Macaca mulatta: one gene and its partner. The protein of the gene in region 2 interacts with the protein of the main gene of each other region in a biochemical or structural test. Links are inferred from orthologs where the notes say so. Each region holds a gene or a part of one and is shown on either strand. Other genes may lie near its edges.

Region 1 (5,658 bases), on a different chromosome or scaffold from region 2:
CTGGGATTACAGGCATGCGTCACCACGCCCGGCTAATTTTTTTGTATTTTTAGTAAAAACGGGGTTTCAGCATGTTGGCCAGGCTGGTCTCGAACTCTTGACCTCAGGTGATCCTCCCACCTCGGCCTCCCAGTGTTGGGATTACAGGCATGAGCCATCGCGCCTGGCTTTCCCCTCCTCCCTCCCCGAGACGGAGTCTCGCTCTTTCACCCAGGCTGCAGTGTGGTGGCACGATCTCGGCTCACTGCAACCTCCACCTCCCAGGTTCAAGCGATTCTCCTGCCTCAGCCTCTGGAGTACCTAGGACTGCAGGCGTGCATCACCACACCCGGCTTTGTATTTTTAGTAGAGACAGAGTTTCACCATATCCGCCAGGTTGGTCTGGAGCTCCTGACCTCAAGTGATCCGCCCACCTCGGCCTCCCAAAGTGCTAGGATTACAGGCGTGAGCCACTGCACCCGGTCTGACGTGCCTATTTCTGGGGTGGATATATTAGTTGGATTATTTTAAGAGAAATATTTTCCTTTTTTTGAAGAAGTAAATAAACTGTATCCTGTTACACCTATTTTCTTTCTTTTTCTTTTTTTATGAGACAGGGCCTCAGTCTCGTCGCCCAGGTTGGTGTGCAGTGGTGTGATCACGGCACACTGCAACCTCCGCCTCCTGGTGATCTTCCCATCTCGGCCTCCCAAAGTGATGGAATTACAGGCATGAGCCACCACGCCCGGCCTACACCTGTTTTCTTCTATGAGTTTTTCACTAAATTCCATAGTGCTCCTAACTTTCATCTAATAAAGTATTCTACCACTGATATTTCCTATTATAACCAAATTCCCTGCTCTGTACAAAAACGTTTGTGGGTATAAATGATGAAATTCAGTTCACGGATCAAATCCTTCAGTTCTGTCACATTGTGAGAGGCCACTGTTGTGAAAGTAAAATAACTTGTGTTCTAGTTACGGCTCTGCTAAGAATACTCTGGGGGATGTCAGGAAGTCGCTTTATTTGTAAAATGATGAGTTAGACCAGAATAAATTCTCTGATAGAAGTTTACAAAGATGAATAAAGATTTATAGGCCAGGCACGGTGGCTCACGCCTAGAATCCCAACGCTTTCGGAAGTTGAGGGGGTGAGGATCCCCAGTGCACAGAAATTTGAGATCAGCCTGGGCAACCTAGTGAGACCCCTTCTCTACCAAAACTAAACAAATAAATAATAAATTTTAAAAATGTATTAGCTGGGCTTGGTGATGTACTGAGGTAGGAGGATCCCTTGAGCCCAGGAGTTCAAGGCTGCAGCGAGCCGTGATCATAGCACTGCACTATGGGCGATAGAGCAAGACCTTAGCTCTGGGGAAAAAAAAAAAAAGATTTAATAGATTTATAAATAAAGTCCATTCTACTGAGGGAAGTCTCTTATTCAGTTATGAACTGCTGCGAACCTCAAGGCAGGAAGGCAAATTTCCTTCAGTTCGGCAAACACGAAGATCCCACACCCGCGTCATCCGGGAAGAAGGCACTCCGAACCTCAGGCGCTCACTCGCCAGGTTTAAGAGGATGCGCAAATAATAAAAGTCCTCTCACCCAGGAAGCGTTTCACTTCCCTTAGCTGAGCCACACTCCAAGGTGCCGAAGCCTAATTGCTATCCACTCTCACCAATCCGTTACCAAAATGAGCATCTACCTGCCGCGAACGTGGCGGTGACACTACTACAGTTCCCAGCCTGCCTCCAGCCAGCCCTCGCCCGCCCCCACTCCTGGACTCCACAGGCCGTGACTTGTAGGCCCAGTCCACGGCTGGCGGCGGTGCGGGACTCCTGAAAACTGCTTCTCTTCCCTAGTAGGCGGTGAGACCGCAAATTCCAGCAGAATCCTACTCTGATACACTACTGCTTGCCCCGCTCTGAGTCGCATTCCCTCCTTCGGAGGAACCAACTCTCCTCCCGACGCTACTCCGACCTCTAAGATCCCTGAACGGGGCCACGCCCCGGAAGTGGAGTCAGGTCTCCAGGCCGCCCGCTGAAGTGCCTTCCAGCCACTCCAAGCGGGCCTGGGGCCGGCAGGGCGGGCTTGGGGGCGTGGCCGGGAGGCGGGCGGGGATGGATCAGCAGGCGCGGCGCTTGGGGCGGAGCCGCAGCGCGAGGCCGCGCATCTGGGTGGCGGCGGGGACGCGCCCGTGGGGAGAGGCGGCTGCGGCTGCGGCTGCTGGCGGGGGGTGGGGGGGAGGAAGAACCGGGAAGGGGGGGCAGGGCGAGCGGAGAGCTAGCTGTGTTCCTGAGGCGGCGGCGGCGGCGGCGGCGGCGGCGGCGGCGGCGGCGGCGTCTCCGACGGAGGAGGAGGGCGGGGAAGGAGGATGGAGCAAGCTGGGGGTTGGGGTTGGCGCTAGCCGCAGCGGCTCGCCTGGTACTGTGGGAGAGCGGCGGCTGCTCCTGGAAGTTGTGGTGTCGGGAGCCCAGCCGGTGCCGCCGCAGCCGCCGCCTAGGGCAGTGGGGAGGAGGAGGGAGCCGCGGGGCTTGGCGGGGGTCGGGAGGGAGGGACGTGCTGGGGAAACGAGCTGGGGAAGACGGAGCGGGCTCTGCGCCGGGCGGGCGGGCGGCGGGGGGGCCAGCGACCGCAGCCGGGGGGACGCGGGAGGATGGAGCAAGTGGAGATCCTGAGGAAATTCATCCAGAGGGTCCAGGCCATGAAGAGTCCTGACCACAATGGGGAGGACAACTTCGCTCGGGACTTCATGGTGAGTCTCTCCCCTCGCTGTCGCCTTGTCTCGCCGGCGCCGGAGCCCATCGCCGCCTCTCCCGGCCGGGCCGCCAGTGCTTTGTGTACCTCTGTGAGGAAAGGGGCGGAGGGGGCGCGCACCAGCCCGGTGGGCCGGGTGGTCTTGGAAGCCGGCGGGAATCGAGAGCGCCTCCCGCCGTGGCCTCCTTTCTTCTCCCATGTTCGCGACCCCCGCGCGGGCGCCCGGGGCGCGAAGGGAGCGGCCGAGCGGCCGAGCCTGCAGCCTGCACCGCGGCTCGCGACCACCTATTGTTTACCCGGCCGGGAGCCGGAGACTAGTGAGGTGCAGGCCGGGGGGTGCTCGCGTTTCCACATCTCCCCGCCCAGTCCGCTCCTCCCAGGAGGGTCGAGGCAGGGTATCTGGCTGTGACCGGGAGGAGTGCAGATCGTGGCTGACAGAGGAACGGGGGAATTGAGGTTGGCACTAACTCCTGGGATCCCTTTGCTTTAGCTGGTCTCAAAGCGGGCAAGGTAGGACTTCTGCCGTTTCTGGGGTCGCAATCATGATCTCCAACGCTTGGGAAAGGATTGTCCATAAGGAATCTCATGGGTTTACCTAATTTCCATTTACCCGCGTCCCGCTTCTCCTCTCTTGAGACCCAGGTTTAAGGTGATCTTGGGGTCCGGTTCAGGGGATAAGTGTGGGTGGGGGGGATTATCCTGAAGGAAACCGACTTCGGACTCCCCAGGGGATATTGCCGAAGGCGAAGGGGATGTGACTATCACTTCCTATCCGGGGTGGGGGTGGGGAACTTGGGAACAATAGTCCTGGTGGGGCGGAGGCGTCGCTACGGGCCGAAGCCCTGAACTGGGAGATAACCTTCCCAGCGCCCCCCCCCGCCTCCGCCACCCCCCACTTTCCGCCCTCTGCTTGTGCAAGCAGGCTTGAGAGGAGGTGAAGGTTAAAAGTCTTGTTCATGAAACTGCTCTAGATACACTATTGCTCTAGCTCACTATGAGGGGGTCAGATCCGAAGGCGTGGGACCAGAAGTCGACTTCCTATGTTACCCACCCCCCCCAACCCCCGCCCCTTTTATTTTTCTGCTGGACAATGTTCCCTCTAGGGTTGTTTCCCGGCTTAGGAGGCGGTGGTTGCGGCTGCTGCTCCTACGGATATTGCGCAAGACTGGGGCGTTGGAAACCCTGTAGGTCTGGGGAATGGAAAAGGAAGTGGGACTTTGGGAAGTGGTTGCTCCTTAGTCTTGGCGGGGGTTGGGAAGGGGAAATCAGCTAGGGAAAATTTTTATCCTGGGTAAGGTACACCTCCAAGAATAATCACTTAACTCTGAAACCTGATTATGAAAAGGATACACAGTTAATATCTGTAAAATGAATGGGCAGCAGACATTGGCTAGTTTTTATTTTTTATTTAAAAAGTACAGTAGTTTTTATGGTGGAGGTGATATGACTTAGTAGTGAATACTTTTTCACGTTTTAAAGAGACCTGTCCAGTAAAGCTTAGCGTTAAATTTTTAACTGCTTATAAAATAGGTCCTTGACCTTACACAATATTATACTAGTATCGTTGAGCTTTGTGATTCCCGCCTCCCCAGACCAATAATTGAGGATGGAAGTAAAGTTTTCTCAGTATCTTTTGAAGATTGAAAATATAAGTTAAATAATCTAACTTATTCCTTATTAAAAATAAAAATATTGCTTATATTTAAACATTTGCTCTTGATATTTAGCCTATGTATTTTTGAAAAATTACTTTTTGATCTGAAAGGGTTAAGGAAAAGAGGGTATTTTCCTTTTTTACTATTGAACTTTAATTGTCTTAGTATCTTTTGAATGGTGTCATTTACAGCAACTGGATGCAGTCCCCTTTTTACTACTTTCTAGCGAAAGTAGAAGAAAATACTTTGAATATTTAAGGCGTTTAAAACTAGCTTTTTTTGTTTTTGTTTTTGAGACGAGTCTTGCTCTGCGCTCTGTAGCCCAGGCTGGAGTGCAGTGGTGCAATCTCAGCTCACTGCAACCTCTGCCTCCCAGAGTCAAACGATTCTCCTGCCTCAGCCTCCCAAGTAGCTGGGACTACAGGCGCAAGCTACCACGCCCAGCTAATTTTTGTATTTTTAGTAGAGATGGGGTTTTGCCATATTTGCAGGCTGGTCTCAAACTCCTCATCTCAAGTGATCCACCTGCCTTGGCCTCCCAAAGTGCTGGGATTACAGGCGTGAGCCACTGTGCCGGGCCTAAAACTAGTTTTTTACCATCTTATTTTGGTTATGGAAGAAGAGATGGTGTGGTCCCTGGTCATTTCTTGTTTGCATGCTAGTCACCTTGTTATCCCTAGGCATATACCGACAGGGAGGAGCATTGTTTGGTGATGCGGGCCATCAGGACAGGTGCCCAGCCTCTGAACTCCTGTATTGGAGAAGTAGCCTTAGGGTTCATGCTTTGGGGATGAGTCAGGGATTCCTATTGGAGAGTTCATTTCTTTCTTTCTTTCTTTCTGTCTGTCTGTCTGTCTGTCTGTCTGTCTGTCTTTCTTTCTTTCTTTCTTTCTTTCTTTCTTTCTTTCTTTCTGTCTTTCTTTCTTTCTTTCTGTCTTTCTTTCTTTCTTTCTTTCTTTCTTTTCTTTTCTTTTCTTTCTTTCTTTCTCGCTTTCTCTCTCTCTCTCTCTCTCTCTCTCTTTCTTTCTTCTTTCTTTTTCAGATGGAGTCTCGTCTGTCGCCCAGGTTGGAGTGCAGTGGTGCAATCTCCGCTCACTGCAACCTCCACCTCCCAGGTTCAAGCGATTCTCCTGCCTCAGCCTCCTGAGTAGCTGAGATTACAGGCGCATGCCACCACGCCTGGCTAATTTTTGTATTTTTAGTAGAGATGGGGTTTCATGGTATTGGCCAGACGGGTCTTGAACTTTGATCTGACTGACTTTGTGATC
Region 2 (5,648 bases):
GGCCTTCCCTTCCCAGGACCAACTCCATCCCAGAAGTAGCTCTAGGCCTGCCTATCCATAAGTGGATAGGACCATGGATTTGTTGGTGTGTGGCATGTGGGTGTGACAGGAGCAAGTTTTCTACCAGAAAAACGGTGGTTTGGAGTGGGGGTAGATAATAGTGCCCTTTTTGTTGTTTGATTTTTTTCTTTTTTTTTTAAGGGACAGTTCAGTTGCTGCTTCTCTGTCTCTTCCCCTCCCCCTAACCATAGTTCTTGTCTGGGCATTCCTCCTGGCCCCGTTTGCCCAGCCTTCCCTGCTGGAAACATTCCTGAGGCTTTCGCCATTTCCTGCCACTTCCCACCCCTCTCCCCTCCTCCCAGTTGGGCTGAGAAGCCACATACAGCTTTTTCCCTACACCCAATCACCTTGACTTCCAGTAGGCAATCTCTTTTCTCCCCATGCACATTTCAACAGTCATACTTCTTTCTTTTCTTCCAAACGCCCACACCCGTTGGTCTTTCCCTGGCCCTGGATACTGCAGGCTCCCAGAGAACATCATCTCAACAGATGAGGACATCCTAGTGTGTGTTTATGTGTTTTGGGGGTGTGAGGCTATAGTGGAATCCTTTCCTCATTCTCTCTATGCCCGAGAGCTGGCTGGAAAAGAAGTGATAAAATTCCTTCTCAGGATTGGCTGACAGAGTGACAAGGCTCTTCTGGAATGAGCACTAAGGGGAGATTTAAGAGTTAAGCACAGTATCTAACACACTTTAAGTGTTAATGTTGTTAATCAGGATAATTATCTATCTATATTTTAATCCTCTGAAGTAAATCTAAGGGTAATTCCAAGGTGAGCTTGGGTGAATACGTATTTTTTTTTTTTTTTGAGGCAGAGTTTTGCTCTTGTCACCCAGGCTGGAGTGCAATGGCACGATCTCAGCTCACTGCAACCTCCACCTCCTGGGTTCAAGCGATTCTCCTGCCTCAGCCTCCCGAGCTGGGATTACAGGTGCTCACCACCACGCCCAGCTAATTTTTGTAGTTTTAGTAGAGACGGGGTTTCACCATGTTGACCAGGCTGGTCTCAATCTTCTGACTTCAGGTGATCCACCCGCCTCGGCCTCCCAAAGTGCTGGGATTACAGGTGTGAGCCACCTTACCCGGCGGGAATATGTATCTTTAACTTGTTTTTTGTTTTTTGGTCGCTTTCCAGCTTTGCCTATGGCATTCTCCAGAAGAGCAGTGGCAGGAAGCCGTGGGTGGCAGGAATGAGTTTGGGACTGTTCCCTGTGTCCAGCTTCAACCCATCTTCTCCTGACACCACTTTCTCCTGTGCTTACTTGTTTTTTCTCCTGTTCTTATTGACACAGATGTGTCTTCTGATCTCTCTGTCCCTTCCTGGCCTGTCGTTTCTGCTTCTCTTGGAGAACTGTTTCTTCCACCTCCTCCAGCCAGGCTCCTCCCCTGGTGTGAGGGACACTGTGCTGTTTGGTGGGGCTTAGGGTCCTGTAAGAGGAGGGATATGAATTGGGGTGGTTTGGAGTGGGAGTGGGGACCTGATTGCCTCATTCTCACCCTTGACAGTGTGCTGTGTTAACAAGGCCTGTGGAAAGGGGAGAGGACAGTGCTTGGCTATGAGCCATGGGTCTTGGTGTGGTAGATGGCATACATAGAGAACAAGCCGTGACCAGCATGTCCTCTTGTTCCCCTCTTGCCTGGTAGCTTCCTGATGTACCATCCAGGTTGGACTTTATTCCCCTTTTTTCACCAACTTTGCTTCTCCTCTTGACCCTGCTCTGCATCCATTGGGACCACTTCCTTCCCATCCCCACTTCGCTAGCTCCAGTCCACAGCTGTCGTAGCAGAGGATGCTAATGGCCCAGGCTTACTGTATGGGGTAGTGGTTGGGGGTGGCCTGGGCTGGAGGGTGGGGAATTCGAGTGTCCAACCAGAACAGGAAGGGAAATGCTGAGCTCTGAGATCTCCTCCCTTTTCCACCCGCAGCTGCCTCTGTTTCCTCCCTCATTCCCCTCTACTCTAGCCTGGCTTCCTGCCCCCTTTGGCCTGCCTGTGTCCGGTTTCGAGTGACCCAGACCTCCTATCTCCTTTCTTTCCGTCCAACTCCTCCATGCTTCCCTCCCACCCCCACTTTCCTTCTCCCCAGATTACTAGTTGTTTGTGTAGGGCAGGGGAGAGGAGCTTGGATAGCCCTACCCTCTGCTCCAGTCCGAGGTTGGGGCGGGGTGGGGGCTCAGCCCCTCTGAGCCTGTGAGTCAGCACTGTCCTCGTGATTGGTCTCTCCCTTTAGCTCTCCGCCCCTGGGGAGGAGCCAGGCAGCTCTGGGTCCAGCCTGTTCTCTTCTCAGCCAGAGAAGAGGCTCCACGTTGGGCGGGGATGGGGCCCGAAACTGTCTGGGTCTGAGCTGGGGAGCGGAAGCCACTTGTCCCTCTCCCTCCCCAGGACTTCTGTGACTCGTGGGCCACAGAGGTCCGACCAGGCTAAGGGCCTGGGGATACCCCCTGCCTGGCCCCCTTGCCCAAACTGGCAGGGGGGCCAGGCCGGGCAGCAGCCCCTCTCTCACCTCAGCTATGGATCTCCTGCCCCCCAAGCCCAAGTACAATCCACTCCGGAATGAGTCTCTGTCATCGCTGGAGGAGGGGGCTTCAGGGTCCACCCCCCCGGAGGAGCTGCCTTCCCCATCAGCTTCATCCCTGGGGCCCATCCTGCCTCCTCTGCCTGGGGACGATAGTCCCACTACTCTGTGCTCCTTCTTCCCCCGGATGAGCAACCTGAGGCTGGCCAACCCGGCTGGGGGGCGCCCAGGGTCTAAGGGGGAGCCAGGAAGGGCAGCCGATGATGGGGAGGGGATCGTAGGGGCAGCCATGCCAGACTCAGGCCCCCTACCCCTCCTCCAGGACATGAACAAGCTGAGTGGAGGCGGCGGGCGCAGGACTCGGGTGGAAGGGGGCCAGCTGGGGGGCGAGGAGTGGACCCGCCACGGGAGCTTTGTCAATAAGCCCACGCGGGGCTGGCTGCATCCCAACGACAAAGTCATGGGACCCGGGGTTTCCTACTTGGTTCGGGTGAGTGAACATCCTCCTTTCCATTGCCTCCCAGACCCCTCCAGTTCTTCTGCTCACTCCAGCTTGGCTGGAATTCTTTTTTCCTGCTGTTCCCCAACAACCCTGTTTCAGTGTTCTATTTCCTAAACCTTTCCCATCCCTTCCCCAATTCTGTAGCCCTTTCCCTTCCAGCTCTGCCTGGGCCCCCTTCCTTCTTTTGACTCCCCTACCCCCACCCTGCCATGCTTAGCACAATGCCCAGCATGGCAGAAGCTCTTAATAAGTGCTGGAAGGAGTGACTTCTTGATCCTTTCCTCCATTCTCCTCCCGCTTTCTGGAGTTGTTGCTCCATCCCAGTCAGTGCCTGTCAGTCCCCTCCAAACTCTCTCCCCAGTGCGTGAGGTCCTTCTAGCCTGCCTTTTCTTTCTCTGCTCGTTCCCTGTTGTCTTTCACCTTGGTTGTGGGATGTAGACACGGGAAGAGGGCAGAACTTCTTCCTCTTTACTTCTCTTAGGGACCATATGGGCAAAGTCCTAGGGCCCTTTGTGAAGGGACTGGGGTCAGGGAGCGGCTGACCTGCTGTCCTCTCCTCCCTCCCCTTAGTACATGGGCTGTGTGGAGGTCCTTCAGTCAATGCGTGCCCTGGACTTCAACACCCGGACTCAGGTTACCAGGTTAGTGGGGAGGGAGTGGACTGTGGGAGTCCTGGGATTAGTGAGGCCATGGGAAAGGGCGGAGGGGAGTGGGTCACTTGGGTGCTGCTGGTTGGGGCTGATCTTTGGGTAGTAAAGGGGATTGAGAGAAAGCTGGGATAGTGATTCTGCCTCTTACTGAAAGGAGGCCCCTCTGGCCCGGATCCTCCTTACCTGTCCAGCCTTGGGAGTTGTGGGGAAGGTAGCAGAAGCAGCTGGCAGGTGGAGCTGGAGTAGCAAATGGGGTAGATGGAAGGTTGCTGCTGCCTTTGGGAAGGGAATGGGACATTTGGTAGCTGGAAGGGGGTGGGGCTATACCCATTGAGGCCCTAACCCAATCAGCCAGGAAGCGGCCTCTCAGTGTCATCAAATATTAAAGGCCCTTAATTCAATCCACCACGACAAAGAGCCTGGAGTGCCCTGGGAGTCTGGCCTGGCTTTCCCCTCCCCCAGCTCTGTGGCAGCCCCAGTTGAGTGGGAGGCAGGCAGGCAGGCGCTGGGTCTGAGTACCCCTCTTTCCCCAGGGAGGCCATCAGTCTGGTGTGTGAGGCTGTGCCGGGTGCTAAGGGGGCGACAAGGAGGAGAAAGGTACTTGGGGTCCTTGGGGATAGGGATGCTGCTGGGAAATGTGGAGGGACAGTGAGGAGGCAAGTGTGGGGCATGTGGGGAGAGGGCCAGGAGACAAGAGTATGGTTTGTCTGTGCTGGGAACCCTCACCTTCTAAGACCCTGGGCCCTACCTTAGCCCTGTAGCCGCCCGCTCAGCTCTATCCTGGGGAGGAGTAACCTGAAATTTGCTGGAATGCCAATCACTCTCACCGTCTCCACCAGCAGCCTCAACCTCATGGCCGCAGACTGCAAACAGGTTGGTGGAGGTGGGCAGGTGGACCAGAAACACCGATGGGGGTGCTAAGGGGAGATCTAGTTAGGAGGCCAAAAACTAGGAAGAGGGCTTGAGAGCAGAAGACCAGTAGGGAAGGAGGAAATGAGGATATGGGATAAGGAACCCAGAGAATGAGACTGGGGCACCAGGGTTCTGGGCCCTGAGGCTGCCTGACACATGGCATTCCCTTCCTTCTCCATCCCCTCCCCTAATTCTCAGATCATCGCCAACCACCACATGCAATCTATCTCATTTGCATCCGGCGGGGATCCGGTGAGTTGGGGAACAGAGCAAAGGTGGTGGGAGAAGAGCAAGGGGCTAGTGATTGGGAAGACATTGATTAGAGAAGTGGGGGTGCTAGGACTGTGGGGATATCTGAAAAGGACTGGGTTTTAGGGGTCAGGAGTAAAGTGGAACTGTAAAATTTTCTGACTTTCCTCCCCAGGACACAGCCGAGTATGTCGCCTACGTTGCCAAAGACCCTGTGAATCAGAGAGGTGAGGCATGGTGGGGAGCACTGGGTGGGTCTGGCTGTTTGAGGTGAGTAGGACCTGGGGTCATTTGTACCCACTCTAAGTAGATCTAAGTGGGGGTTCCTGCCGAGGAAGATGAGGGCCCCTGTCTGTGCCTCCTCCCAGTGGGCTCAACTCACTGACAGCCTCTGCTGTGCCCTCAGCCTGCCACATTCTGGAGTGTCCCGAAGGGCTTGCCCAGGATGTCATCAGCACCATTGGCCAGGCCTTTGAGTTGCGCTTCAAACAATACCTCAGGAACCCACCCAAACTGGTCACCCCTCATGACAGGTGAGCAAGTGGGGAGAGTGTGGAGCAGCTTTTGAGACCAAGATTGGGAAAGGAGGGCTGTTCTTCCCACACTTGAGCTGAGAGGTTCAGGGAGGGAATAACCTGTGTGCCTCTGCTTCCCACTTCCTGCTATTCTTCTGTTTCCTGTGGCCCAGGAGGAAAGGCTTTTGAGGCCCTGCTTGCCGCAGGGCCAGCTTTTCTTGTTTGCTCATGGTGGAGCTGTAGTC

What was found.
Region 1: the proteins of SHC1 (region 2) and PTPN12 form a complex in vitro, tested with the Homo sapiens proteins (2 studies listed by BioGRID). The link is inferred for Macaca mulatta from reciprocal best matches to the Homo sapiens genes SHC1 and PTPN12.

Annotation. Positions count from the first base shown.
Region 1 is NC_133408.1:141,997,151-142,002,808, reverse strand, and holds the start of PTPN12 (tyrosine-protein phosphatase non-receptor type 12), read left to right. Parts: upstream 1-2,185; 5' UTR 2,186-2,634; coding exon 2,635-2,733; intron 2,734-3,077; exon of another isoform or gene 3,078-3,245; intron 3,246-5,658. UniProt on the Homo sapiens protein: Dephosphorylates a range of proteins, and thereby regulates cellular signaling cascades. Dephosphorylates cellular tyrosine kinases, such as ERBB2 and PTK2B/PYK2, and thereby regulates signaling via ERBB2 and PTK2B/PYK2.
Region 2 is NC_133406.1:112,030,636-112,036,283, forward strand, and holds the start of SHC1 (SHC-transforming protein 1), read left to right. Parts: upstream 1-2,412; 5' UTR 2,413-2,570; coding exon 2,571-3,065; intron 3,066-3,647; coding exon 3,648-3,718; intron 3,719-4,260; coding exon 4,261-4,324; intron 4,325-4,480; coding exon 4,481-4,600; intron 4,601-4,837; coding exon 4,838-4,891; intron 4,892-5,063; coding exon 5,064-5,115; intron 5,116-5,294; coding exon 5,295-5,421; intron 5,422-5,648. UniProt on the Homo sapiens protein: Signaling adapter that couples activated growth factor receptors to signaling pathways. Participates in a signaling cascade initiated by activated KIT and KITLG/SCF.